Rattus norvegicus: one gene and its partners. The protein of the gene in region 2 purifies or fractionates together with the protein of the main gene of each other region. This does not show direct contact. Links are inferred from orthologs where the notes say so. Each region holds a gene or a part of one and is shown on either strand. Other genes may lie near its edges.

Region 1 (4,059 bases), on a different chromosome or scaffold from region 2:
TACTTATTGATACTGTGTCAAATCAAAAATGCAAGAATTAAGGAATCAAAAATATTAGCTCCACTATTCTACCACACTAGATTATAGTTCACGTTTAAAACATTTTCAACTGAGCTTTGCAATTGGTTACTGCACGGTGTGCAATTATGTGATTATTCATCTCACTCACGTAAAATCTCATTACTGAGAGAAAATTTGTTTTTACTGAGACAAAAGAGTAAAGGTGGATCTTTGGAAACTACCCAACTTTTTGTACATGAAAATCGAGGCGCATAAATCTCCCAAGAGCCAGGAACTAATGAAAACACCTCCTTTCTGGAAACCTAGGCTTTTCTCCACCAGAGGTTTATAAGCAGCAAAGGGCAAGTTCCATTGTTTCATAGCATTTGCTTTTTAAAAGGTGTGTGTGTGTGTGTGTGTGTGTGTGTGTGTGTGTGTGTGTGTGTGTGTGGAAATCGGTACACAGTGCATTTGCACTTTTCCTGGCGATTCTTAGGGCGTGATATTTTCTGAAATTGAACTTATTAAAGAGCTGCTTTGGCGTAACAGATAGAGCACGGGGCTCCCAGGGCTTATCCCCCTGAGTCCAGATTCTAACAACACTGCTTACTATGTCATCTTGGCCAGTAAACCCAAGTTCCTTGAGCCTTACTTTCCTAATCAATAAAATGGAAACGACTCCTGTGTGGTGTTGGCTATACATTCAGCTGTAACCACACAAACGACCAGGAGGATGCTTTTTGAAGGGCAATCACTCGACTGACTCCGGGAGGATCCAGAACCAAGATCTCAGGACTCCTCGGAGCTTCAAAGGCGGGAGACGTGCCTACATCTCTTCCGCCTCGGTCGGTATCACCCAAACCAGACACCGCTCTGGGCCCCGTTCCGGAGCCCGCTGGAGTACACTGTTTCAGAGCCTTCTTTTCTCCGCCAGAGGCTCATGTTGTTCGGATAGGGCTTCCGGGCCCCATCGCTGTTGCCGGCGTTAAGCAGGAATTCAGCACCGTGCTCCATCTTCTTAGCTTTCTGAACCTGCTAGCAGGTAAACTGCCCGATGGCCGCTGGTCACCGCCCTATCCTAACCTCAGCAATACACGGAACAGCCAACTCAACAGCTCCGCAGCAGAAGACGCGGAAGGCCGCGTTACCTAGGAAACTGGGGCGGGACTACGCGCAGATTGCCTTACGGAGAATTTGCGCAGGCGCAGAGCCTGGTTCCGAGTGTCGCGAGAGCCGCTTCCCGGAAGTTCCACGTCAGTGGGTCCACTGCTCCGTGGGTCTGTGTGTTCTTGAGTACCAGTGTCGCTCGGAGCCTGTGAGAGGCTGGGGCTCGGACAATCGGAGCCATGGTAGGTCGAGCCTCAAAGGACAGAGAGTGGAGCCTACCGGCTACGGGGTTCCCGGGGCCTCCGGGCTAGGGGCCGTAGTTAGAAGCGGTCTGCGCTGCTGCGGCCTGGCGGGGTCCTCCTGTCCCGTTGGGAGTCCTGGGAGGAAGAAGGCCAGACTGGGAGGCTGCCGTGGTTACACGGTAGTGTAGGGGGGTGTCTGCGAGTTAGCTGCCGCCGACTCTCCTGGCAGTCAGGGCTCCTGTCAGTGCACCTGCAGTCTGCAGTGGGTCCAGTAGTGCAAGTAAATGCTAGAGGTAGGAGTCGGGCGACAAAGGCTACTTTGACAAAGTCACTTCATTCTGTCATTGAAGTGATGTTTGCTAATCCAGGTTGCGCGCGGTGTTTGATAGTGTGCACACACCAAATTGCAAACTTAAGCAGAGGGGGGAAAAAGTTAAATGTATGTGGAATCAGAGGCGGAATTTCAAATGCTTTGGCGGCCCAGTTCGGCGTTTTCTAGCTGGTGTTGATTGGGCCTTCTAGGCTCACAGAGGATGGTATTTTGGGGAAAGGCCCTTAGATCTGCCTCATTTCATTTTGAGACATATTTTTAATAGTGAAACCTTGCTTTCATTCTTCAAGGTATGTGAGTCCCATACCCACAAATTGAACCAGCTTTTGGTGGAAGACATTTGGGGAAAACTATTGTGTGAACATGTGCTGTTATTTTTTTCTCCTTGTGATAATATACAACAACTCTTTACAACTTTGACCCTGTATTGGTGTTGTAACTAATGTAGAGATGACCAGGAGTCATGGGTAGATTATAAGCACTAAAATAACTGAACTTGAGGGTTTTGGTTTGGTGGAGGGTACTGGAACCATGTGCAGGCACCAAAGGATGACTGTATTTTAAGTCTCCGGTAAAAAGTACAAAACACGAATTTATTTATTTGCTCACTCACCATAGGAGAACTCACTCTCCTGTATTTTGCTAAACATTTACCAGCTGATTGTCACAGCAGCCTGTAGATAATTATGAGTAATGTTTATGGTGGTTCCTGTAAGCCTTGCTCTGGTCTGCTCTAACTGAACTCTGATTTTAAATCTCGGAATGCTAAGAGAGATATTATTATCCCCATTTATACAAGCCAAACCTGGGAGGCTAATTAAGCTTAATACTGTATGTCTGACTTGAGAGCTGCAGATGAGGCTTGAATGTAGTGTGGATCTCAGTTATACTACCTGCTCCTCCCCTGCTCCCAAGTAAATACGGTGTGGAGAGAAGGACCTGGATAAGCATTGAGGCAGGCCCTTAAGAAATAATCCACTCCACAAGCAAGAAGAGCTGTGCATGTGGATGTACTATAAACGGGGGGGGGGGGGGGGGGGGGGGGGAATCCTCTGGCTAGGCCAATCAGAGAGGGCGTAGTGGTGGCAGCAACATTTAAACTAAGTCTGGAGTTGAGGATGCAGTGTGAGTAGGTTAATCATCTAAGACCTGGTATGATGTCTTTTTTTTTTTTTTTTTTAATCATGACTGAGATGGTAAGTATGACTCCAGGAGCTCTTGCCTGCAGTAATGGACATTTTAAAATGGGTGTCTTTGCTTGGAGTATGTGCAGCTAGACTAGATAGTTCAGAGATCCCTGGCCATTTTGAAAAATCAATTTAAAAACATTGTTAGGATTTATCCTCACAATCCTATTTCACACACACACACACACACACACACACACACACACACACACATACTTACTTGGATATGTGGCTTATGTTATGTTGAAGACCCACTATGGCTCCTGGCATAATATACTTCCTGCTTGTTGTTGGCTCAAAGAAGTAGTTAAAATCCATGTCAGTAGTCAGTGGGGCAAAAATTCAGAAATCATTGAAAAGGTTTGTTTTCCTGAAATTAGCATGTGATTTGAAGATAGTGGCTTGAGTATATAAGAGATAGGCAGGACCACACAGCAGTGGAGGAGTTCTCAAGAAAGCTGAAGAGAGAAAACACCGTCCTAATGTTGTTTTTGAAAGTGAGGGAGGCAAACATGGAAGAAGTTAGAAGTAGACAAAGAAGTTAGAAGTAGACAAAGACACAAAAAGAGGTGAATAAACGCCTTGTTAGGTGTTTGTTTCAGGATATTATCTCTGCCAGATCCTCAATTTGTGCTTAGAAGCAACCTTAGATTTCTGTTGAATTCATGATTGTTACAGAACAGCACAAGACACTAGCACAGAGACTCATCTGGCCAGTAAGCTTTCAGGCTGTGCATTAGGCTTATTGAAGGGGACATGCATTTGACCTGCGCGGATAAGAGAGAGTGCTCCAGGGCATCTTTGAACGAATTAACTTTTCTTCTGTGGTGGCATCCCTAGGAGAAACGGAACACAGTCACTCAAATCAGTTTCTGGTCTGCGGTTCAGAGAAGGAGTCTAACTGGAAAGGGGCAGTTTTAAACTGTTACTATTTAATGGCTTAATTTGTTTAAAATTGTTCTACTTTTCAGTATGTTTCTATACATTCAAAAGACCTTTATGAACATGAGTAAACCCTTATTGATCAGGCATTACTACTTGTCTACAGTTTAAATGTCCTCCCCATCTGATTATTTTTAAAGAGCTCATTTAATATTATGGTTTAGGATTAGTACAGTTTCATGAATGACATTTTCTGGTACAGCACTCATGCATGGACATGAAATTGTGACGTAGTTGATGTTTTGAATTT
Region 2 (3,500 bases):
ATCTTGGTTTGGCCTGGAACTATGTAGACCAAGGTAACCTAAGCTTGTGGCAATTCTCCTGCCTCAGCTTTCTAAAAGTTGAGATTTCAGGTGTACGTCACTATGTCTGACTAAGAGACAACATTTTTTTTTTCTCTTCAGCATAGTAAGTGATTTCCAAAATGACTCACGCACAACACAACCAGGGCCTCTTTGCCTGAATCTGTGAAGAGTGTGTCGTCCACAAATCTTCCCTTATCAACCTCTGAGGTAAGTCAGGTTATGTCTGGACAGGCCCGGAATGCCAATCTCACCCACCATGTGTTAACACTAAACACACTAGGCACTGGAGACAGGAGCTGAGCTGCAATGTCTCCCTGTGCTTTACAGGACTAGGGAGCTAACCAGAAGAACCCAAGAACCCCAGGCCAACTGAGAGGAACACTGTGTGGAGGATAAGTCTGCAGGTTGGGCTGTGGCGCTGTGACTCACAGCTCTCTGAGACACTGGGAGTGGGGCTTGATCACCTCTCCAGTCTGCCTACTTGGATCTAAGATAGGAATAGCAACATGTCTTGTCTCAGAGTTACTGAGGATTACGTGTGCTAAAGGAGGCTGCATGTGAGATGTCAACACGGTGCCTGGAACACAGGAAAGGCCTCATGCACAATAATACGAATACATGGCCCGTTTGCTTTTCCTACGACTTTGGCTTCTAGGAGACTCTTTTTGCAAAAGGAAGTCTTTAGATATGTTCCTTCTGGGAGACTTGTAATAGGACCAGAAACTGACAGAGCTTAAGATTTTATAGTCACTGAGTCAACCTGAACAACCCGACATAGACAGCTAACCAGGGGGAGGAAACTAACACAGGTGTCAACCCCAGGTTATCAGGCCACACTGAGCCTCACTGCAGCTGAAGTGTGACCAGCCATGCGGTTTTCATTTACCCAGGCTTCCCCAGAGCAGAAGTGCAGCTTCCAAAGGCAGCATTGCACTTGCAGGCAGAGTTTGCTTTGCTGATGTCCATCAGTGACCAGCAGCATCTTACCTGCTGCTTTGAGAAGAGCTGCCAGCCTGGTGGACCCTCTTCCAGCTGCTATGTGTAGAGGTGTCGTCCCATCGTAGGTGGTGCTGTCCACGAGGGCGTCACCCTAAACCCACCCACAAAGAGAGAGTTAGCAGAAGGCTCATTTGTCTACCTCCATATCTCCATGGATCCTCAGGTTATATTGTTAGCCCAATTGCTAGACTGAGCTGGCTCTGTCACTGGAGAAGTCCCCCAGTTAGGGAGCTGGGCTGGAGGTGGGGACGCAGGAAGTGGCCTCTCTGAGCACCAGCAGATGCCAGGCAGAGCTGAATGCTGACAGCACAGCTGGTCCTAGCGTCACTCTTTGCAAAGTTCCTTGAGGGCGTTTAGTTCAAGATCACAAGGGCGTCCTTTACCTCCAGGAGCAGGCAGCCGGCCAACGAGATGTTGTCGTACTCCACGGCCAGGTGCAGTGCCGTGCGCCCAGACTTCTGCTCCTGAGCGTTGACTTCTGCCCCAGCAGCCACAAGCAGCTGCAGACATGACAGGCTGTTGCTCATCACAGCTATGTGAATGGCATTCAGACCTAAGGCCAAGCAAAGGCAGAGATGTGGGCAAGGTTGCCAGAGCTGGGCTGTGGGGAGGAGGGACACCGCCAGGTCACGGCACTTCCGGTTTTTGTTCAGGGCTTGCTTCAAAGGCTCAGAAGGTCCACTGTTCTGTTTTTAGAAGCCACGAGCTCCTATTGTGCTCACGGGAGACAATGAGCTACCAAATAAACATTCTCCACATATGTGATGCTTTCTGTAAGACTAGTGTTTGCCCAGGCCTGCTTTCCCACTTACTAAGTAACTTTCCCGAGTCATCTTTAAGGGTAAACAGCAGAAATAACCACGACATCTGAGGAACTCCGGCTGGCAGAGGGGAGTATGGTGAAAGTCAGATACATTTACCAAATGCCAAGCTCTTCTGCAGCAGCCGGCAGGGGAAGGTTAGCCAGCAGCGTGACTGCCCTTACCTTCCCCGTTGGGGTGGTTGATAAGGAGTGCTGCCTTGCTGTTCTTGAGTAGGACCCCGAGGATTTTATCATGTCCTTCTTTGGCAGCTAGGTGCAGGACAGAGTTGCCCCAGCGGTCCAGAAGACTCAGGTCAGCCCCAACCCTCAGCAAGTCCTCCACCACATCTTCCTGCTTGGTGATCACGGCCAAGTGCAAAGGTGTCTACATAGAGAAGGAGCAGGAGAGCCGTTGGTTATGAACATCTGTAACCCCTGGCTTCAGAACTATGCCATGGAGTCACGCTGCAGGGACATCTGTCATTCAAGGGGCTTTCTGTTCCACATGCCAGGCTCAAAGGCCCAAGAAGGGCACCAGCATCCAACAGTCAGGGTTATAGAATAAACTTAAAATGCTTAGTAGTTTTACTAAATGATTTTTTAAGCCATGTAGAAGTAAAATTAAGCTTTTTTGAATTTCTGATAGGAATCTATACCTGGTAATTCTACACATTGTCAAATCCAACCAATGCTGTGTTTTTTTTTTTCTTTAAGATTCATTTATTTATTATATATAAGTACATTATCGCTGTCCTCAGACACACCAGAAGAGGGCACCAGATCCCATTACAGATGGTTGTGAGCCACCGTGTGGTTGCTGGGATTTGAACTCAGGACCTCTGGAAGAGCAGTCAGTGCTCTTAACCACTGAGCCATCTTTGCAGCCCCCAATGCTGTGGTTTTAACAAGGAAATGTAAATACACTATTAAAAGAAAGCAATCAAGAAAGGGGCCGTCCTTCACAATAGTATGGAAATACACATGCTAAACCAGAACACGGTGCTACAGGCTGGCTTCAAGAGAGCCACAGTTACAAGCGATACTGCCGTGCTACCAAAGGTATTGCCGGGTTCTCCTTGGCACAGCCACCCAATACAACACTCGCCCCAAGAAAGCTCAGGCGGAAAACAACCCCAGCTACTGTGCATAAAAGGCACAGGAAAGTCTTTCTGACTACCCTGACTACAAAGTTGTGCTTCCGTGGGTGTAAGGAGGATGCATGGAAAACTGTTTTCAGAAACGAGCAAGGTCAACACAATCATGAAAGTGTCCGTCAAAGAACTGAGGTCACTGATGGAGAGTGACACCTTTCAGTGTCAGCCAGTCTGTCTCGCTGGAGCTTTACAGTGAACTCCAGGCTGCGTAGTGAGGACTCCCATTCAGGGAATAATTAGTTCCCGCTGGAGAGGCAGCGGCAGGTGGGCCACCAACACAAATCACCACGGTGATACTTTAGGTGTCTAGATCTTAACCCCTAGGATTGTATCTTAAACTCGTATAAAATGTGTGTCTCAAGATATCCCTAGAATCGATCTGTGGAGCTCAGTGTTCAAACTGTCCTAGTAACCCGCTTCTGTCACAGATGGACAGGTAGGCATGGTGCAGGTGCTTACTGCAGCATTCTCCTCAGAAGCAATGAGAACAAACAAGCTGTCCA
Region 3 (3,500 bases), on a different chromosome or scaffold from region 2:
CGAGATCAAGAAGAATATCCCTTAATTATCCACAGCCTCCTGGCTCAACAAAGACAAGGCCGTACCCAAACACCGCCCGATCCACATCATCAGTACACATTACAATTTAAAGTTCTAACAGTGTCTGCTTTAAGAAGCCTAAGGTTATGAAACTTCGTAATCTGTAAAACTAATGAGTCCAAAGAAAGCAAATTTTTAAGCGTATCTGCTACACGCCAAAGGCTAAGCATCTCGGTATCATGAAGATGACAAAAGGCACATAAGGACTCATCATTATCAAACTCAAGCTCATCTCCATGTCCCTGAAAATGACTTTAAGACGAAACAAAAATAAGTGTGCACTGTATAATTCTATCTATAAGTCCATCCAGAGCAAGCGCCTAAGAGGGCAGAAACTAAACATGCACTGTATAGCTCTATCTATAAGTCCATCCAGAGCAAGCACCTAAGAGGGCAGGCAGAAAATAGCTTGTGTGTGCCTAGGACTGGAAAGGGTGAGAAGGGCTGGGGAGGGTGACCATGGAAAAGTTGTGACAGATGAACAGCTCTGAGTGGATGGGAGGTTCTGGTCCTTGAGTGCATGTGACTGTGACTGTCATAGAAGCTCTGCTCCATACCAAAGGGACACCCCTAACAGGCTCTGGGAGTGTATAGAATTTCTTCAACTGCACACAAAATTATACGTGTTGGTTCGCTGCAGTTGTGATGTGAGGGAAAGCCTGGGAATAAAGGGTCTGCAGCTCCTGTCCCACTATCCAAGATCAAAGTGACCTGGTGCCTGTCAGTCTTCACTGAGGTCACCTCAGGAAAAGCTGATACCACACAAAGAAAGAAGAGAAAGCCTGGTGTCTTCTACCTCAGCTGACCACTGAGAGCAACTCTAGAAACCAGAGGAAGCAAACAGACGTTTTTGTTTGTTGACTCTGAAATGAACTCTAAACAAAATATTCTCGTGTTACTTCAAATTCTGCCTGGATGAATTGGAAGCATAGCAGGATCAGAGTCACAGCTGACATCAGAACTGATGCTGAATAGCAAATGATGCTCTCCCCAGTGAGCTTCCAGGAACCGTTACAAGCTTCGACTTCCTACCGAGAAACTCTCAATACCTGAGCGGCACGTGCTCTCAAAGACTTTCTGCAGAAGCCCCTTGGTAATGCGGCCCGTTCTCCGGACAGAATTATCCAGTCTCATTAGGGCCCAATCAAACTGACTGCCACTCCTTCTCACAGGAGCAGGCTCCTCTGGAAGATCCTTTTTTTCAGCGACGATGGCATACAACCTGGCTTGGCTCAGCAGCTCTCTGTGAAATGAAATAGAATTAGTAATAAACTAAGCAAACTGCTGTCTACACAGGCACTGCTTGTGTGACCCGTCCACACCAGCTCCGACAGTCACCACACACAAACTGCAAAGCCTGGAGCAAAGTGTACACTGAAGCAAATCAATCAATCAATCAATCAATCAATCAATCAATCTCTCTCTCTCACACACACATACACACACACACACACACACACACACACACACACAAACACACACACTGCTTCTGAGTGGATTGATAACCTTCAACATGAAGTCATCTCAAACTAAGAAGCTAAAATTATTTTCCCTTAATGAAGGAAAAATGAGGCAGCTCATAACGCACTCTTCTCATTCATGTGAGTGAGACAAAGGCCAAGGCAGCCTCCAAACTCTAAACTACCTTCAGGGTTTTGTCTGGGCATAAGTTTATTATGGCCATAACTTGGTTACGTCATTATGAACATAACTAGGTCCGAGGCACCCGCTTTCATGACTCTGAGTCAACACGCTGTTTGAATGCTTCCCTCGGTCTTTAAAGTAATAACTGTCAAAAATAAAACTGCACTCTGGCTTAAACAGTTTTAAAGATGTCATAAGCTAAAATTAGAATAATACATGTTTCTACAGAATAAGCAATCTTTTTTCTTTTTTCTTTTTTCTTTTTTTTGGAAATAGGAACTCATTCAGTCCAGGCTGGCCTGGAACTTCCAAAAGAACCAACAATAACTTTGAACTTGTAGTTTTCCTGCTTTTCCCTCTGCTGGGCTAGCAGGCCTGCACCACAGTTTACTCGGTGCAGGGATGGGGCCCGTGCTAATGAAGCCCCCAAAAATCTGAGCTACTGATATCTCCAGAAGAAACTCTTTAAATCAATATTTGATAATGCAGCTTAATATACAATTGAATGTTCATAAACATGTTATCAGTGGTGCTTCATGTTATAGGAATTAATGCTGTACTTGATGACAAACCAAGAAAAAAAAAATCCCTAGATGTAAAAATTACTGTCATAAATCTTTGATTTTGACAGGCTTTCTGTGAATTCAATATCTTACCTTTTAACATATGCAATTCTTGGGGATCTACTCCAAATATCTTATTTTCAGCTGCCATTGTTATACTAAGTATTATGCCTAAAAATGTTAACTCAAGAAATACTTCCAGAATAACCACATTCTCTGGATTGTAGACCACCTTTTACCAGCGGTGGTGAGCTAAGTGCGTAAGTCAGTAATGGAGCACTCGCTTAGTGTGCAAAAGGCCCTAGGTCTGATCTCACTGTCCCCAAAGCCACCGTTTTCCTGCATCACAAACTGACTGTATGTGAAGTGGCATCAAAAGCTGTGTCACATGCAAACCAGAGTCTGTAACTAATACTGTTGTAGAAATTACACCAGTGACCAGAGACAATCACAACACCTGACCATCATATATACAGAAATAAATCAGAAACTATGGGGGTGGGGAGGGATATCGCCAAGTAAGGTGATATCCTCTGCACATCATGTGCACGAGTGAGAGTGAGAGAGTGAGAGAATGAGAGAGTGTGAGAGAGTGAGAGAGAGAGAGAGAGAGGGAGGGAGAGGTGGGTGTTATCACCCACAGACCAGAGAAGATGCATATTGCCCCCTATGGTTATCCATTACTATAATAATCATCAAAAACTACTGATAACTCAGAACACGTGCACTGATTCATACAATGCAGAACTTTTTGCGCAGTAGAGGTGAACTTGCTGACTTCTATGCCACTCAAATCAGATGACTATTGATGAGCACACCCACGACTTCTTTTTACATCCTGGCTGCAGTTTACCCATTTCCCCTCCCTCCTCTCCTAGTCCCCGCCTCCCGTAACTCCCCCATCACACCTGTTTCTCTTCAGGAGAGGGCGGGCTAGATATTCTCCAGCCTCTGGCATACCAAGTTGCAGTAAGACTAGCACCTCCTCTTCTCTTAGAGCTAGAAAAGGCAGCCCAGTAGGAGGAAAGGGTTCCAAAGGCAGCAGGCGACAGCAGAGACAGCCCCTGCTCCCACTGTTAGGAGTCCCACGGGAAGACCAAGCTATACAACTGCAACGTATGTGTGGAGGGCCGAGGGCAATGCCATGCAGTCCCTGGTTAATGGAGCTTTAAATGATAGTATACATTACCACCACCACCACTGCCGCCACCACCACCTCCACCACCACCACAG
Region 4 (4,093 bases), on a different chromosome or scaffold from region 2:
ATCCAGGACTTCCTGGGGCAGGAAAGCCAAGCAACAGAATAGTACCGATGGGGCTTCATGGATTACTGCCAGGTGGAGCAGCCTGGAGCAGGAGAGGACTGGGGTCAGAGTCCAGGTCAGAGAGGATAAGCTGGCATCTTGGGGTTAGAATGAATGCCTCAACCTCTAGCTACCCACAACCAAGCAGGTGCAGGAAGTGAGAGTCTGGGCCAGGAAGTGAGGGGTTGGTACAGGAAGCCAGGATTCTGGAGGTGGGAGCTCCAAGTTCAGATGGCTGGACCTGTGGAGGGCCCTGGCTGGGTGGGCATGTGGGCAGGGTGCTGACAGAACACGGGCCTTCCTGTCCAACTTGCCTACACCCAGCTTCTCTTCTGCCCCCGGGGGCCAGGTCAGGCCAGCTGCGGCTCAAAGCTAAACTGAAAGGTGCTGGAGGAACACAGGGGGTTTCCAGGGCTGAGCTCCCCACCTCCCCACAACAGGGAGGACGGGAGGAGGCAGACGTGGGGTTCCCCCAGCAACTCAATGTCACACATTCCAAGGAGCCAGCGTGGCATTGCAAACTGCTTGCTGCCTTACCCACTAGTCAAGAGGGCCATTCCTCAGCCTGCACAAGCCATATGGGGTCTGGCCACAAACCCTCTCCTAGGTACAGCTCCAAGAGGAGTACGGTGCAGTGCAGAAAATGGGTTTGATGGGGAGCATAAGTTAGGGCCAGCCAGGGCAGTTGGGATGGGAAGTTCCAGTCTTGGGGTTTCCCCACATCAGGTGGGGAAAACGAAAGCCAGGGTTAGATGGTCTAGACTAGGACAGCTGCCTTGGGGCAACTTGGCTAAAGGCTGTCTGGGCTAGGGAGGGGGATACTAAGGCAGGACGGGGGCAAACTTTTGCTGTAGGCAGGCAGTAAAGGAGGCCAGGAGAGAGTGACGGAGGGAGGGAGGAACCACTCTGGAAATCCCCTCGGCCAGGGCCTGCTCTCTGGGTCACATTCCTGCAGCCACCTCCCTCTCTCCCTCAGTCTCCCCTCCTCCCGCCCACTTCCTTTTCGCACTTCCACACTTCCCACAGTCCAGCCATCTCCAAAGGAGGGAAGATGTCTGTTGGGGAGTCCTGATGAATCTTTCAGCACCTGTCTCTAAGCAGAGCTCATCAAGGCTGCAGCTCAGAGACTAACCGTGGAGGACGGCCTGAGAAGTGTGTGGTGCTCCCAGAACTCTGGGGTTCTGTGATAAGGGTTTGTGACTGGTGTGTGTAATACAAAAGGCTTACCACCTTCCTCCTGATCACAGGATTGAGACTATCTTTGCCAGTGTCCACCAGAGACCCCTACCTCTGCAACAAGCAGGTCAGGGCAGGTATCCCCCTGCACACCAGTATCTCCCTCATCTAGGTCTCCAGCTGTCCCTGCTCTATCACCCCCAATGCCCAGTCACCTCTTCTGACTTTGATAACCTCCCAGCCCAGCTGCACCTGACTCCAGCTGGGCCTAGGGGAGGAAAGAGAAGATCGGGATAACATAGGACAGTAAGGAGAATTTGGGGAGCTTGGGAGGTGCAGTGTGTTGAGGAGGCTGACGCCAAGCCATTACTTCCCTTTTCTCAGCAGAGGAGGAAGTGAGCCGGGGCGGCAGCTGGCTATCCTGTTTGTTGGGGGCAAGAATTCTCAGTCTAGCCACCCTTCTTTTGGAACCAATTCCAAACAGGCACCCAGCAGTACCCGTAGTCCATGCTTCCTGGGCTCAGATGACAACCTGTAATCCTGGGGTTATCATTTTTCCCCCTCTGGTTAGGGTGTTCTGAAGTCAGGCCCTGGTATCCCAAATGTTGAGCAAACAGGGACACCCCTTCCCCCAACAAGAAAAACAAAAACCGAATTGGTTGGGAGGTTGTGGGGGAATTCCTCTTCCCCGGGGTGGGTCACCGGTAGATTTTCAAGATTCTGCCTGGTGTTCTAGGTAACAAGGGCCCTGCTAGCTCTGTCCGCTCCCAAAAGAGATGATGATGTCTGTTTTTTTGGTCTGAACCTGGCTTAAACTATAGCTGAACTACAGCTTAAAAGCAGGCTGCAGGTTAAGTTTGGAGTTTGGAGAAGGGGGTAGGTGGGGTGGGGCTGGCCATTCCGGGGCGGGTGCTGTAAGAAGAGTCTATCCTCTCAGGTGATGAAGTGGTCGTGGGTGCCTAACCAGTTGCAGCTCCTAAGGAGGCTCTGGCTGAGCATCCTGTCTCAGCCTAGCTAGTTTACTCACGTGTCTCCATCTTCAGAGATGTACGTGAGCGCTTCGAGTTGCTGAGGGCTCAGCACCCCCGCGGGGGACACCGGCGAGCTTGGGGTGGGAGGGTTTGGATCCTTGGCCTCGGGTCTCTCCAGCAAGGGCAAAGACTCTGTGAGAGAGGAGGAGGCATAGGTGGAGTCCGCTCGCTCTCCATCCGCATCTTCCTTCCCCTCTGGTTCCTTGTCCGTCTTCGGAGCATGGCTCCAAGGCTGTGGGCAGCCGCTGTGCGATGATCCAGAGACTGGGGCCGCAGCAGGGTCGGGCAGGGAGCGCAGAGAGCGCAGCGACTCTATGCCGGAATCGCACTGGCTGTCGTCCGCCTCGTCCGGCCCCTTCCGCGCATCCGACATGCCGGCCGCGCCAGCCCGGGATCCAGGGTCCAGCGGGATCTAACTCTGAGGTGTGCGGCGCGCTTTTCCGGGTTTGTGTGTCCGCCTAACAGAACCAGAGTCCCTCTGCGAGCGGGTTCATTACCTGGCTGTGCAGGCGCGGGGAGCGGACGAGAAAAGCGAGAGGTCCAGGGCGCCGGCGAGGTCTCCAGCAGCGGGTGCTTTGGGCAGCTGAAGGGTCCCTAGTCAGGTCTTCTCTCTCGCCCCGCCCCCGGGCCCAAGAAGTGGCCACAAGCCACTACCACGCCCATGACCCCGCCCCTCAAAGGCGCTTCCGGGTAGAGCCCCGCCCCTCCGGAATCCCCCTGTTTGCTGCTTGCGTAGGCAGGGAGTCTCTGGTTACCGGACTTGACTCACTCTCTCACTCTCGTGTTGATTGTTTCGCCCATTCATTTATTTTTTTATTCATTCATTCACTCATTCATTCATTCACTCGCTCTTCCCCTTTCTTTTTACTTCATTCACTAATTCTATGCATTCATTCGTTCCTTCTGTTTAGTTCCGCGGTGTCTTCATTCGTTTATTCGTTCGATTGTTTAAAAAGTGCATTTTTTGATTTTCTGCACAAACTGGCTACTTTGTGGGGAGTTTGCGTAGGTTGGTGGGCGGTGCCTTAACGTTTCTATTGCTGCAATGAAACATCCTGATCAGAGAACAAGTTGGGGAGGGAAGGATTTATTCGCCTTATACTTCTAGATTATAGTGCATTATCAAAGGAAGTTAGGACAGAAACTCAAACAGGACAGGATCCTGGAGGCAAGAGCTGATTGATGCAGAGGCCAGGGGGCGTGGTCCTGCTTACTGACTTGCTCCCTATAGCTTACTCAGCTTGGTTTCTTAAAGAACCCAGGACCACCAGCCCAGGGACGGCATCACCCACAATGGAATGGGGTGGGCCCTCCCCATCAGTCACTAATTAAGAAAGTGCCTTCCTGTTGGATTTTAGGGAGGCATTTTATTTTATTTATGTTTTAAAAGATTTATTTATTTTATTTATACAAGTACACTGTAGCTGTCTTCATGCACACAAGAAGAGGGCATTGGATCCCATTTACAGATGGTTGTGAGCCACCATGTGGTTGCTGGGAATTGAACTCAGGACCTCTGGAAGAGCAATTAATGCTCTTAACCACTGAGCCATCTCTACAGCCCCTAGGGAGGCATTTTAACCCAGGCTCCCTCCCTTCAGATGACTCTAACTCCCATCAAGTCACCTGACCAGCCAGCACAGATGAGGGGAGGGGCTCTGCTTGCTACCCTCTGCCTATTTTTTCTCGACTTCTCTTGCCTTTTCACCCCCCCTCATCAGTCCTCAGGGGGATTGGTTAGGAGGGATGCACCTATTATCTTTAGGGGAGCATCATTTCCCTGGGAAATCTTCATAGAGAGCTCCTGTGTCAAGTCCCCTGATCGCAGATTTGGCAGGAGAATTCGA
Region 5 (3,500 bases), on a different chromosome or scaffold from region 2:
AAGTTTAGAGCGCAGATAAAAGAAACCTTAAAGTAAGAATAGGAATTTGTAAGAAGTATTTTAAAGAGGGAGCTAGAGTATATCTTTAATTTTTTTCTTTGCTTTTTGTTTGTTTGTTTGTTTGTTTGTTTGTTTGTTGAGAGAAGATCTTGTTCCAAACTGGCCCCAAACTTACAGTCCTTCCACCTCAGTCCTGAGTGCTGGGATTAGAGTTTTGTGCCATTACACCCGCCGTGAATGCTTTTGTGCTGTTCGTCAGAGGCCTGCTCTTGGAGTCTAGCCACTTGAAAGATGATGATGCTAAGAGGAGTTCTCGAGACTAAGACTTTAGGGCTAGTCTGAACAACAGAGTGACTCCTTGTTTCTTAGTAACAAGAAAGGGGGAAAACTTAACTATCAACATTGAGACTTACTGGTTATTTGTCTAACACTGGAATAATGCTCTGACAAGAGTCTGTAAGAAAGTCTAGCACTCTAACAAATACATTTGTTTGTTTGTTTGTTTGTTTGTTTGTTTGTACATTTAGGGCCTCCCGAGAAAATCCAGCTATGCAAGAAAAAAAAAGATCAAGCATCTGGCAATTGTGAGTATAGTAAGGACCAGAATCAGAGGTGATGCTTGGAGACAACACGATACTGACTTTTCCCAGTTGGGAGGAAATAGCTAATCCGAAATCCTTCTCTTTAATATACAGCATGCCAACTCGGTAAGGCTGTGCCTCAGGACCCAGAGTAGGCTATCGTAAGCTGCACTGTGTTGGTTATGCCTTTGTGGAATCTTCTGCTGGCTTACATAAAACCATGGGGAATTATTTATAAAATTGACAGTTACATGAATCCCCATCAAAGAGAAGATGAGAAATTTGATATTTGTACTGCTCAGTTAGTCTTGCGTGTGTTAAACTTGATTATGTTTGCACCAGAAGTACTGTCTCTTTTTTGACATTAAAACTTACCCTTTAGGATTAATCTTGTTTACTGGAAGCATAAATGTTTAAAACTGTGGACATGAAAATAGATCCTCAAGTTGAGCCTAGAAAATTCATGATATGAGTTAACTTGGTGATGTGTGTTCCCGGTGTAGCAGACCTTTCTATGCACTGCACGCTAAGCTTTGACTGTCATCACAGTCATCCCCCTGCTGCTCACTGACCACTGTGACCTTGTCCCATATAGGAGCTAGCCAAGGAGCCTTTGTATCATACTTGTTTAGTGGAAGCTTTTTGTACGCAAAAGCATCTCTTTCGTTACAGAACTTGCTTATATCTGATCTGGCATTCTAAGCAATACTTACTTTCCCCTGAGTGTCCACGTTTGGTTGTGACTGACTGCTAAGGCTGTGGTATAACTATAAAAGCGATTTTGCGAATGTCTAACTCACTGCCTCGTAAAGTTCAAACTTTCTTAAGCATAAAAGTTTATGGGAAATTGGGGCTTGGTTTTCACAGTGCATGTAATAGACATAGCTATAGGTTTTGATTGTTTGCCTCTCTTATTTTGATAGTTTCAGCCGACTTTTTAGCTCTTCAAGTAATGCAGCAAAGAAGCCCGAACCCCCTGTTAATCTGAAGTACAATGCCCCCACCTCTCACGTGACTCCCTCCGTGAAGAAAAGGAGCAGCACTTTATCTCAGCTCCCTGGTGACAAGTCCAAGGCGTTCGATTTCCTTAGTGAGGAGTGAGTATTCCGAACAGAGTGCTAGAACCGGTCACCCTTACTAACTCCTCAGTCGCTGAGAGAAGTCGACTGTTTGTAGCCAGGCATAAAGGCTTATGTTAATCCAGGACTCAGGGTGCTGATGCAGGAGATCATCACCAGTTCCTTGCCAGCCTGGTCTGTACAGACAGTTCAGGCTAGCATTGGCTACACACATAAACCTGTCTTAAGAACAAAGACTATTATTTTGCGTGTTGGGGTTATGGATAGAAGTGGAAAGAAGAAAAAAAAAGGATGGTTTCTATAGCGTGGATGGATGCTTTTAAGTAAATTACCTGTAGAGCTTAGTAATGTCATTCTAAACCTGTGGAAGCTGAGGCAGGAGGATTGTAATTTTGAGGCCATCCTGAGCCACAGGGATTTGGAGACTTTGCCCCAAAATGAGTGAATGAATGAGTGAATGAATGAATGACTTGTAGCCAGCATTTCTTGTGAAAATTGCACTTTAGGACTAGTGAACTGGTTGAGCAGGTAAGAGTGCTGCCAACCTTGGTGGACTGAGATCCATCCCGGGACCTGTGTGTCGGAAGGAGAATGCACTCTTCTGGCCTCTGAGGGCACCAGGCATGCACATAGTGCACAGACATCCATGCAGGCAAAACATTCCAAACACCTAAAGAAATAATTATATCTAAGTTTAAAAAATAATCATGAGAAATGGTGTAGAATCTAGGAGTTTAGCTTAATCACCTTCCATAACAGCTGGCATTAGAAAATTCTCAGTATTTTTTAAGAAAAGAGAGATCCCAAATTACCTCAGAAGTTTATGCTTTTAAATATAACATCTGAAACGTCATAAGTTTGATGACTAATAACTCAGTTTAATACAACATGCTGCTTATTCCCTGTTGAAGGCTGGTTTCACAAACATGGAAAAATCAGCTTTGGTATAATCCTCATGAGCGCGCGTGTGTGTGTGTGTGTGTGTGTGTGTGTGTGTGTGTGTGTGTGTGTATCTGTCTGTGTCTGTGTGTCCGTCTGTCTGTCTCTGCGTCTCGGGTACAAGGCTCCAGGGTGGAGTCAAGGATGACTCAAATGCTGGATTGTTGCATTCTCATAATTAAAACTGCAAATGTCTCCTTTTAGAACTGAGGCTAGCTTAGCCTCCCGCAGAGAGCAAAAGAGAGAGCAGTATCGGCAGGTGAAGGCTCATGTTCAGAAGGAAGATGGCCGAGTGCAAGCTTTCGGTTGGAGTCTGCCTCAGAAGTACAAGCAGGTACTTGGGGATGTGATGAGCGTGTCTAGCAGGAAGTGCACACTGAGAAGAGTGTGCTTGAAAACTGTGAACTAGAGGCAACATCCTAAATTCCTCATTGCGGCCTGCTTCGATATGTTTAGACAAATTTGGAGGATATGGTCTTTCAGGCTATTTTCTAGAGCCCTAGAATGTAGTAAACATGCCAACTCCTAAAGACTAAGCACTTTTGTTTACAAACATGCATTTACGTACACATGCATGATGGTGGTTTCTGCCTCCTGCGAGCTCTCGTGCTTACTGTCTGCAATTGCTGCTTGAGTTTTGCTTATTTTTCAAGTAAGAACGACAGAATCAGACTTGACTTGATTTCAGGAGCAAGCCTGTGACAGTAATGCTACTTATGTGTCTCAGTAGTTCTGTAATCTCAGTGTTAATGGGACTTACTGATGTGTCCCCCTTAGGTAGCCAATGGTCAAGGGGAAAATAAGATGAAAAATTTACCTGTGCCTGTCTATCTCAGACCACTAGACGAAAAAGATGCGTCTATGAAGGTAAGCTGTGACATTGAAGGAGGGACTCTCAAAC
Region 6 (3,500 bases), on a different chromosome or scaffold from region 2:
ATGTACTGTTGAGAAAAAGAGCACAGGAGGCTCAGGGGTCAGGCTCATGTAAGGCAGTCGGGCAACTCAAAGCTGATCCAACATAGACTAGTGTGTTTCTTTCCAGGTCTTGAAGCAAAAAAAGGGGTGAGTCTGCATAGCAGATACAGATCGACAGACTCTCTCAGGGCCAAGCTAACACGATGCTTGCACGAGTAATGAAATCTTGAGAGGCAGGGAAGGCACTGGCTGTAAACTGACTTACAGAACTGCACAGCTAGCAATGGAACGCTTCAGCAATCTTTAGACATTTTAACGGCCCTGACCAGGTGCAGACCTTGAGCTCCCGGCCTCCAGATCTGAGGAATCTATTGCCAGCCCCGAGGTCTGCTTTGCATCCCATAGCAGGACACTCAGGATAACTCCGTTAAGTTTTAATCGACATGAAAGGTAAGTACGAAAAGACAGAAAGTGGTGAGCGTTTTCCAGCAAACCCGTCTTTCTATTTGCTTCCTGTGGAGCCTCCCCAGACTTGGGGTGAGGTGGACTTCAGTGGTGGCCACTTACTCAGCATGCACGAACCACCTCAGCTCTAGTGTAACAAGGCATGATTGGCAAAAAACCTTTGCTTTCCCAAAAGGAGAACAAGATCAGGCTTTGGTATTGTTGTTTATGAAGCATCGCTGTCTCAATGCTTTATAAACATTCTTCTCCATCATCCTTCTAATTGCTTTAATAAAGAACCAAACGACCTATGGCAAAGCAGGAAAGGACAGGCGGGACTTCCAGGCAGAGACAGGAACTCAATAAAAGTATTGAGTGTGGGGGGCTCTCGAGTCAGAAGCAGAGGAAGAAACAGGCACCAGGACTGGTTGCATAAGAGGGACGCAGTCGTGCGGCACAACACAGATTAGTAAAAGTGGGCCCGTGTAAGCTGTACAAGCTAGTCAGGAGCAAGCCCAAGCTAAGGCCAAGCTGTATATGATAAAGTCTCCAGACCAGTACTTGGATGACTGGTCAAGACAGTCCAGTGATATGATTTCTTATTAATGGCCAATTAATGGGGGCTGCTGTCAAGTCAGGTGGGCATGATGGCAGCCTTTAATTCCAACATGTAGGAAGCAGACAGGGTTTTAAAAAAAAGTAAACTGCCGTGCTTTAAGGACAAGAAGCCAAAAACCACCTTGAGAAGGGAGGAGGGAAAAGCTCAGACTGGGAGGAGACAACTGCAGGACGGACACACAGGGCAGGAGCTGGGAGAGGGAGAACTCAGACTGGGAGGAGACACCTGCAGGAAGGACACACAGGACAGGAGCTAAGGGAACTACAACACAACAATGAGGAAGAGATATACAGGCATCTAATGACAAGGCATAAATGGCAAATAGCCAATGTCACATGCCCTGGAAACAACAGACCAACACAGAGAGATGACTACCTGTCAGAAACACTGATGCCCAAAACCATGGCAGCAAGTGCCCGAGGAGTGCTGTGTGGAATGACAAACTGTCACCAAATGGCACAGGCCCACAGTGAGACCCAGGCACACTGGAATGCATAGCAAAGAGAGGCAGTGGGTGCTGCTGGGGTGCAGTGTACAGTGAAGTCCAAAAAGGGGGGTGTCCACAATGTCCCACACACAATGGATGAGCTCAAGACGGACGAATACTGGTCACTAAACACACGCATGATCCTTCTCCCCAGCTGAAGACCTAGAAGCAACAACATCCCAGCAGCGAGAGCTCCCAGGAGTCCTTAGTTCTAGTAACACTCTCCACCAAGGAGCCGAGATCCTTAAGGAAGAAATGGCTGCTTCTAGGACCAGGCCTGCAAGTAAAATGAGGCCAGTACTCGGCACCAGAACAAAGCACACACAGCCAAAAGCCCCGCAGTGGTGGTTTATGTGGAAACCAGGAAGAGCGTCCAGGGACACAATAAAGCAGTGCTGGCCAAACACAAAACAAGTCCTCTGCAGTTCAAGTTACAGACAGGGAAACTGGCTCCCCTTGCAGAGGACCCAGATCCACTTTCCAGCTCCTACATGGGTGCTCACAACCATCTGAAAAACCCTAGTTCAGGGAATCTGACTCCCTGCTCTGGCCTATGGGAACAGAGAAAAAAGCAAGCAAAATATCCACACGGATGACATAAACCTAAAAGACTACAGCAGGAGGGGTCTCCTGTCACACAGCGCCAAATAAGTCACACGCCATGCTCTCCCGGGGAGAGCATGCTTACTGGCTGTGAGAGGCCAGCATGGGAAGGCGGACACTGACTTTAGGTAGAAGGACAAAGGCCACCCAAGAAACTAGCTTACCACCTAGGGAGCATTACATTACAAATGCACAATGGTGACGTGACAAAATCACACTTTAAACCAAGATCTTCTCATACCCACACCCTTTCTGGTCACAAAGAACACAGAAGCTCTCTGAAGAGTGGGCTTTAGCACACCAGTCACGCGCCAGGATCGCTTAGTTATAAAGAAAGTATGAGAAATAAGGTGTGGGAACCAGAAACTGTGTTCAAAAAAACACGCGCGCGCACGCACACGCTAGAGCTCAAGCTCGCCAATAACCGTCTAGAGGCAACTAAGCTGCCTTGACTTTCCTGTTTCAAATATTTGATCCTGTGAAGCCCCTTCTCCGAACGCAGGCCAACTCCACCATCAAGAAGGCACATTAGGAGAACGAGGGAGGGTGAGCACTTACGGTAGCTGTTCTCTGCTCATCAAACTTGGAGAGTTTTTGAAGCTCTCTATATACTGTTCCAAGGGGCGCGTATTCCAGAATTAAATAAACTCTGGTGGCGTCATGGAAATACCCATACAGCCTGAGGATGTTGGGGTGCCTGCAACAGAAACAACAACTGTGACACCTGGCTTCAGAGCCAGTCCAGCAGGGACTGCTGACCCCTCAAGAAATAAAGACAACAGGTGTCACAGAACACACACGAGGTCTGAACCCAGATCTGAGCCCAGCCAAGAAAAAGACACCTTAACCATCTGCCCACATGGACGTGAAATACAAGCAGATCTTAAACTTAGTTCTCACTGCTCCTTTTAGACATCTTTATTCTTAGTGGGAAGTGTCGGCTGACACCAGTCTCTCTCTGCGTGTTGAGGAGGAAAGTGCTTCTGTGCAGGAGGAGGACAAGCACCCACAGCAGACAGGGTGGCAGTGCGTGGGTGCCAAGTAGCACCACTCACTGCTTCAGTCGGCACCCTGCCAGGTGATGGCAAGCAAGCCAGACAAGCGGAGGACACCAGAGCCTAGGATTGGCACCTGTGTCAAACTTGGAAACACGGAAAGCAAAAAGGGAAAACCAAAGCCACCGATTCATCCAGTCTTTCTCAAATCCCCTCCTGCTGAACAAGCCCAAGCACACTGCTCACTTTAAGCCCTTGAGCAGTGTTTCCTGGGGGCCACATCACCTATGTGTATGGAAATGTCAGATTCAACCATTCCCGTGGTGGCCTGAGGCAAGCTGGGTGGGGCGCTGTCCGGCTCCCCAGCTCCTCC
Region 7 (3,500 bases), on a different chromosome or scaffold from region 2:
AGCCTTGGGGTTCTCGGCCCATGCCAGAAGCTTGCTAAGGCATTAGCATATCCTGACAGACATTCGAGACTCGCTGATGCAGGCCCTGGCCAGTTACGTGTGTTACCCACATTCCCTGCGGGCCGTGGAACGGATCCCCGAGGAGCAGTAAGTAGCTTGGGGGGATATGTACCCCTCTGGACAGCACCATGCCCAGCCTCACTCTATACCTGCCATCCCTCACCTTCCTTCCTAGGCGCATCGCCATGGTGAGGAACCTTTTGGCCCCCTATGAGCAACGACCCTGGGCCCAGACCAACTGGATCCTGGTGCGGCTTTGGAGGGTAAGCCTGACCTGAGGGCAGTAGCTAAGGACTGCGGGAAGGAGATGCCACCCTGTCCCTGACTCCCGACTATTTAACTCCGCAGGGCTGTGGTTTTGGGTACCGCTACACACGGCTGCCACATCTGCTGAAAACCAAGCCAGAGGATGCTAATTTGCCAAGCCTCCAAAGTGAGTATTCAGATTAGACTAGCCCTGGAGACAGCCCCAGACAGGCAGTACCCCTTTCCTGCTACTCTCACTGCCCTTGAGTCTTCTCCAAGCCTCCTGCCTGGGCTTGTGTCAGGCTCCTAACCTTCCCCTCAGGCCCCCATTTTCCTCCCTCTTAGCACAGGGATGCTTCAGGATGAGAGCTTTTGTTCCCTTTGGGCTGGTAGTGAAGGGTTAACAATGGAAGGACCCCTTCAGCTTGGCGGAAACTCATAGTGGGTAGGGACATATTTTATTCACTCCCCTCTGCCTGCCTCTTTACTCCCAGCCATATCCCTGAAGTGTTTCTTCCTTCTTTGTTATCTTCTGGCCTTGGACCTTTGATTCAAGAGGGGGCACAAGCTAGAAACTGATCAGGACGCAGAGGGGGCATAGATGTGGCTAAGAACAGAGGCTCTCAAAGTGTCCTTAGCCCAAGGGCCTTCACCGGGTGCTGTGTAGCTTGCAGAGAGGGCTCATCACACTCCTTGCAGCCAGTGTCTTGGTCTCTGCATGTTTCCAGAGAGGTCAAAAGTCTTGTGCAGACTCACACAGCAAATCCTTCCTTGCTGAATACCCTCACCTGGACTCTAGGATGGACCTGAGCTGCAAGGGGGGAGGGGCAATGGGCCCCGATACCATCCCTGTGTGCAGGAACTATTGATTTGCATCAGAGGGTTGGAGAGGTATGTCGGGCCAGCTGCAGCGGAGAGCTCTGGTTACTGCTGCCCTTCCAGCCCAGACTTGGCGCTCAACACCTAAGCCAAATGCCAAGGCCAGACCAAGGGCAGCAGAGGACAGCAGGGCAGGGTCTGGGCTCTTTATGAAGCCAGCCTTGACACTAGTGCGAACAGTCAGGGTTGTCTTGTCTATATCTGACATCTGCCCGACAGGCATGTGATTCAGAACGTGCTTCAGGCCAGGCCCGCAGCTCTCGGCCCATGGGGTATGACAGTATTGGAAACACCTGCAGCTTTTGGCTTGCCCAGCAAGAGGGAGACACACTTGCTCCTAAACTCTCAAGCCAAACTGTGCCGTTCCTCGGCCTTCGTGATCTGAATATTCTTAGGCAGTCATCATTTTGTTCTTAAAGCAGTGGTCCAGGAGGACAGGCAGGAGTCCTGTCGTGGAGTCCCTGGTCACACTGCTTTCCTCTGTCCCCAGAGCCCTGCCCTTCAACCTTGCTACAGCAGCACATGGCAGACCTTCTGCGACAAGGTTCTGATGTGGCACCAAGCTTCCTCAACAGCGTCCTTAACCAGCTCAACTGGGCCTTCTCTGAGTTCATCGGCATGATCCAGGAGGTGGGCTGTGGTGGGGAGGGGTGGGCAGAGACCGAGGCACACCAGTGCTGCAAAGCCTCTCTCTGATTGCTACCTGGCTGCCTGTTGGTGGTTTAGATTCAACAGGCTGCTGAACGCCTAGAGCGAAACTTTGTGGACAGCCGGCAGCTCAAGGTCTGTGCCACCTGCTTCGACCTGTCAGTCAGCTTGCTGCGCGTCTTGGAAATGACCATCACACTGGTCCCTGAAATCTTCCTTGACTGGTCCCGCCCTACCTCTGAGATGCTGCTTCGGCGTCTTGCACAGGTGTGTCCATCTGGACGAGGAGGGAAGGACCCCGGGGATAACTCAGGTGGTGCACTTGCCCACCCACCAATAGGCTTCTGCCCTCACAGCTGCTGAACCAGGTGCTGAACCGGGTGACAGCTGAGAGGAACCTGTTTGACCGTGTAGTCACGCTGCGGCTACCTGGTAAGGATCTAGGTGCCCTGCACCTCAGCACACCAAGGCCTTAGCTTCTCTGCCAGGAGCCTGTGCTAGATTCTCCATTCAGCACCAGGACATCCATGCTGTGCACTCCCAGCCTCAGCTTGCCTTAAGTAGGAAAAACAGTGGGAAAGGCCAGTGGTATCAGCCAGGCCTGAAGCCTCTGCCACAGAACCAACATAAGTGGTTAATCTTCCTTCCCTCCCTTAGGGCTGGAGAGTGTGGACCACTACCCTATCTTGGTGGCAGTGACCGGCATCCTGGTACGCCTCCTGGCACACGGTCCATCCTCAGAGTGAGTACTGGGGACTGTTGGCTCTCGTGGGAACTGGGTGTGCACTTTGAGGAGGGGCTGATAGGGCAGAGCCTCATGGTACCCAATTGTCTCAAAATCAGAATCAATTTTGGGACCCTGAGGCAAGGAATACCAGGTGATGTGTAAACTGCTTTAACAGGCGTCAACATCAACTGCCCGTGGCTGGGTGGGAGGTCTTAGCTTTCAGCCACGCCTCCTGCAGGGGGCATAAATCCCCAAACTTGGAAGATGTGCTATTCTCTAATGGTCAGGGCCATCCTGCTGGATCAAGAGCTGAGCACACAAAGCTACCGACCTGGGAAAGCCCAGCAGTGAGCATGAACCACTTTTATTACAAAACGCCTTAGCAGTCATCTAGGACAGGGCTGTCAGCTCATCGTGGGAGAGGCTCAGACCATCTTCACCACCTGCAGTGGGAGTGCCAGAGGCATGGACTGAGGGTTCTGTTTAGCCATTAGGTTGAGTGCCAGTCCTTGCGAGGCCTCTGCTCTCCAGAGCCAGACGCGTCACCTATCTGTGCTTTTTCCTGCTGGGTTATGAGCCCAAGGGACTGGATCTGCCTCTGGCTGAAGACAGCAGGGCTACTCCTGCAGGGGCATCCTGTAGGAGGGATGCATGCCCAGCAGACTCCACAGGAGACTTTCAGCCTCCAGGAGGCCGGAGGCAGTAGACTGGGTCCTCTTCAGAAGGTAGAGGGCTCATTTCCTCCTTCTGTCATAGAGTGGGAGCTGGGTCTCCTGAACTGCCATCTCCTGCCTTGGGCGGGGTGGGGCGGGGCAGTGTATGTTTGACTTTTCCATACCATACCACACCCTGATGTCTGCATTAACTCCTGGGGGTGGTCCCAAGACTCTGATACAAGGGCTCTCACCAGATTGGCTTGGTCTATAATCATAATGGGACA

Evidence for each region.
Region 1: the proteins of Nfkb1 (region 2) and Copb2 purify together in Homo sapiens (affinity purification with mass spectrometry; 5 studies listed by BioGRID and IntAct, with this or other methods). This does not show direct contact. The link is inferred for Rattus norvegicus from reciprocal best matches to the Homo sapiens genes NFKB1 and COPB2.
Region 3: the proteins of Nfkb1 (region 2) and Lrpprc purify together in Homo sapiens (affinity purification with mass spectrometry; 3 studies listed by BioGRID and IntAct, with this or other methods). This does not show direct contact. The link is inferred for Rattus norvegicus from reciprocal best matches to the Homo sapiens genes NFKB1 and LRPPRC.
Region 4: the proteins of Nfkb1 (region 2) and Nfkbie purify together in Homo sapiens (affinity purification with mass spectrometry; 4 studies listed by BioGRID and IntAct, with this or other methods). This does not show direct contact. The link is inferred for Rattus norvegicus from reciprocal best matches to the Homo sapiens genes NFKB1 and NFKBIE.
Region 5: the proteins of Nfkb1 (region 2) and Spag9 purify together in Homo sapiens (affinity purification with mass spectrometry; 5 studies listed by BioGRID and IntAct, with this or other methods). This does not show direct contact. The link is inferred for Rattus norvegicus from reciprocal best matches to the Homo sapiens genes NFKB1 and SPAG9.
Region 6: the proteins of Nfkb1 (region 2) and Aurka purify together in Homo sapiens (affinity purification with mass spectrometry; 4 studies listed by BioGRID and IntAct, counting the BioPlex papers as one, with this or other methods). This does not show direct contact. The link is inferred for Rattus norvegicus from reciprocal best matches to the Homo sapiens genes NFKB1 and AURKA.
Region 7: the proteins of Nfkb1 (region 2) and Rnf123 purify together in Homo sapiens (affinity purification with western blotting; 4 studies listed by BioGRID). This does not show direct contact. The link is inferred for Rattus norvegicus from reciprocal best matches to the Homo sapiens genes NFKB1 and RNF123.

What each region holds. Positions count from the first base shown.
Region 1 is NC_086026.1:108,039,428-108,043,486, forward strand, and holds the start of Copb2 (coatomer subunit beta'), read left to right. Parts: upstream 1-1,259; 5' UTR 1,260-1,346; coding exon 1,347-1,349; intron 1,350-4,059. UniProt on the Homo sapiens protein: The coatomer is a cytosolic protein complex that binds to dilysine motifs and reversibly associates with Golgi non-clathrin-coated vesicles, which further mediate biosynthetic protein transport from the ER, via the Golgi up to the trans Golgi network.
Region 2 is NC_086020.1:226,697,463-226,700,962, forward strand, and holds part of Nfkb1 (nuclear factor NF-kappa-B p105 subunit), read right to left. Parts: intron 2,229-3,500; coding exon 2,027-2,228; intron 1,595-2,026; coding exon 1,425-1,594; intron 1,133-1,424; coding exon 1,030-1,132; intron 1-1,029.
Region 3 is NC_086024.1:15,622,638-15,626,137, reverse strand, and holds part of Lrpprc (leucine-rich PPR motif-containing protein, mitochondrial precursor), read right to left. Parts: intron 1,304-3,500; coding exon 1,110-1,303; intron 1-1,109. UniProt on the Homo sapiens protein: May play a role in RNA metabolism in both nuclei and mitochondria. In the nucleus binds to HNRPA1-associated poly(A) mRNAs and is part of nmRNP complexes at late stages of mRNA maturation which are possibly associated with nuclear mRNA export.
Region 4 is NC_086027.1:22,945,073-22,949,165, forward strand, and holds the start of Nfkbie (NF-kappa-B inhibitor epsilon), read right to left. Parts: upstream 2,801-4,093; 5' UTR 2,620-2,800; coding exon 2,243-2,619; intron 83-2,242; coding exon 1-82. UniProt on the Homo sapiens protein: Sequesters NF-kappa-B transcription factor complexes in the cytoplasm, thereby inhibiting their activity. Sequestered complexes include NFKB1-RELA (p50-p65) and NFKB1-REL (p50-c-Rel) complexes.
Region 5 is NC_086028.1:79,537,877-79,541,376, forward strand, and holds part of Spag9 (C-Jun-amino-terminal kinase-interacting protein 4), read left to right. Parts: intron 1-527; coding exon 528-584; intron 585-1,504; coding exon 1,505-1,678; intron 1,679-2,803; coding exon 2,804-2,933; intron 2,934-3,376; coding exon 3,377-3,466; intron 3,467-3,500. UniProt on the Homo sapiens protein: The JNK-interacting protein (JIP) group of scaffold proteins selectively mediates JNK signaling by aggregating specific components of the MAPK cascade to form a functional JNK signaling module.
Region 6 is NC_086021.1:181,550,770-181,554,269, forward strand, and holds part of Aurka (aurora kinase A), read right to left. Parts: intron 2,830-3,500; coding exon 2,691-2,829; intron 6-2,690; coding exon 1-5. UniProt on the Homo sapiens protein: Mitotic serine/threonine kinase that contributes to the regulation of cell cycle progression.
Region 7 is NC_086026.1:117,622,275-117,625,774, reverse strand, and holds part of Rnf123 (E3 ubiquitin-protein ligase RNF123), read left to right. Parts: intron 1-59; coding exon 60-147; intron 148-235; coding exon 236-323; intron 324-408; coding exon 409-493; intron 494-1,675; coding exon 1,676-1,815; intron 1,816-1,911; coding exon 1,912-2,100; intron 2,101-2,173; coding exon of another isoform or gene 2,174-2,189; coding exon 2,190-2,265; intron 2,266-2,490; coding exon 2,491-2,575; exon of another isoform or gene 2,576-2,581; intron 2,582-2,908; exon of another isoform or gene 2,909-3,500. UniProt on the Homo sapiens protein: Catalytic subunit of the KPC complex that acts as E3 ubiquitin-protein ligase. Promotes the ubiquitination and proteasome-mediated degradation of CDKN1B which is the cyclin-dependent kinase inhibitor at the G0-G1 transition of the cell cycle.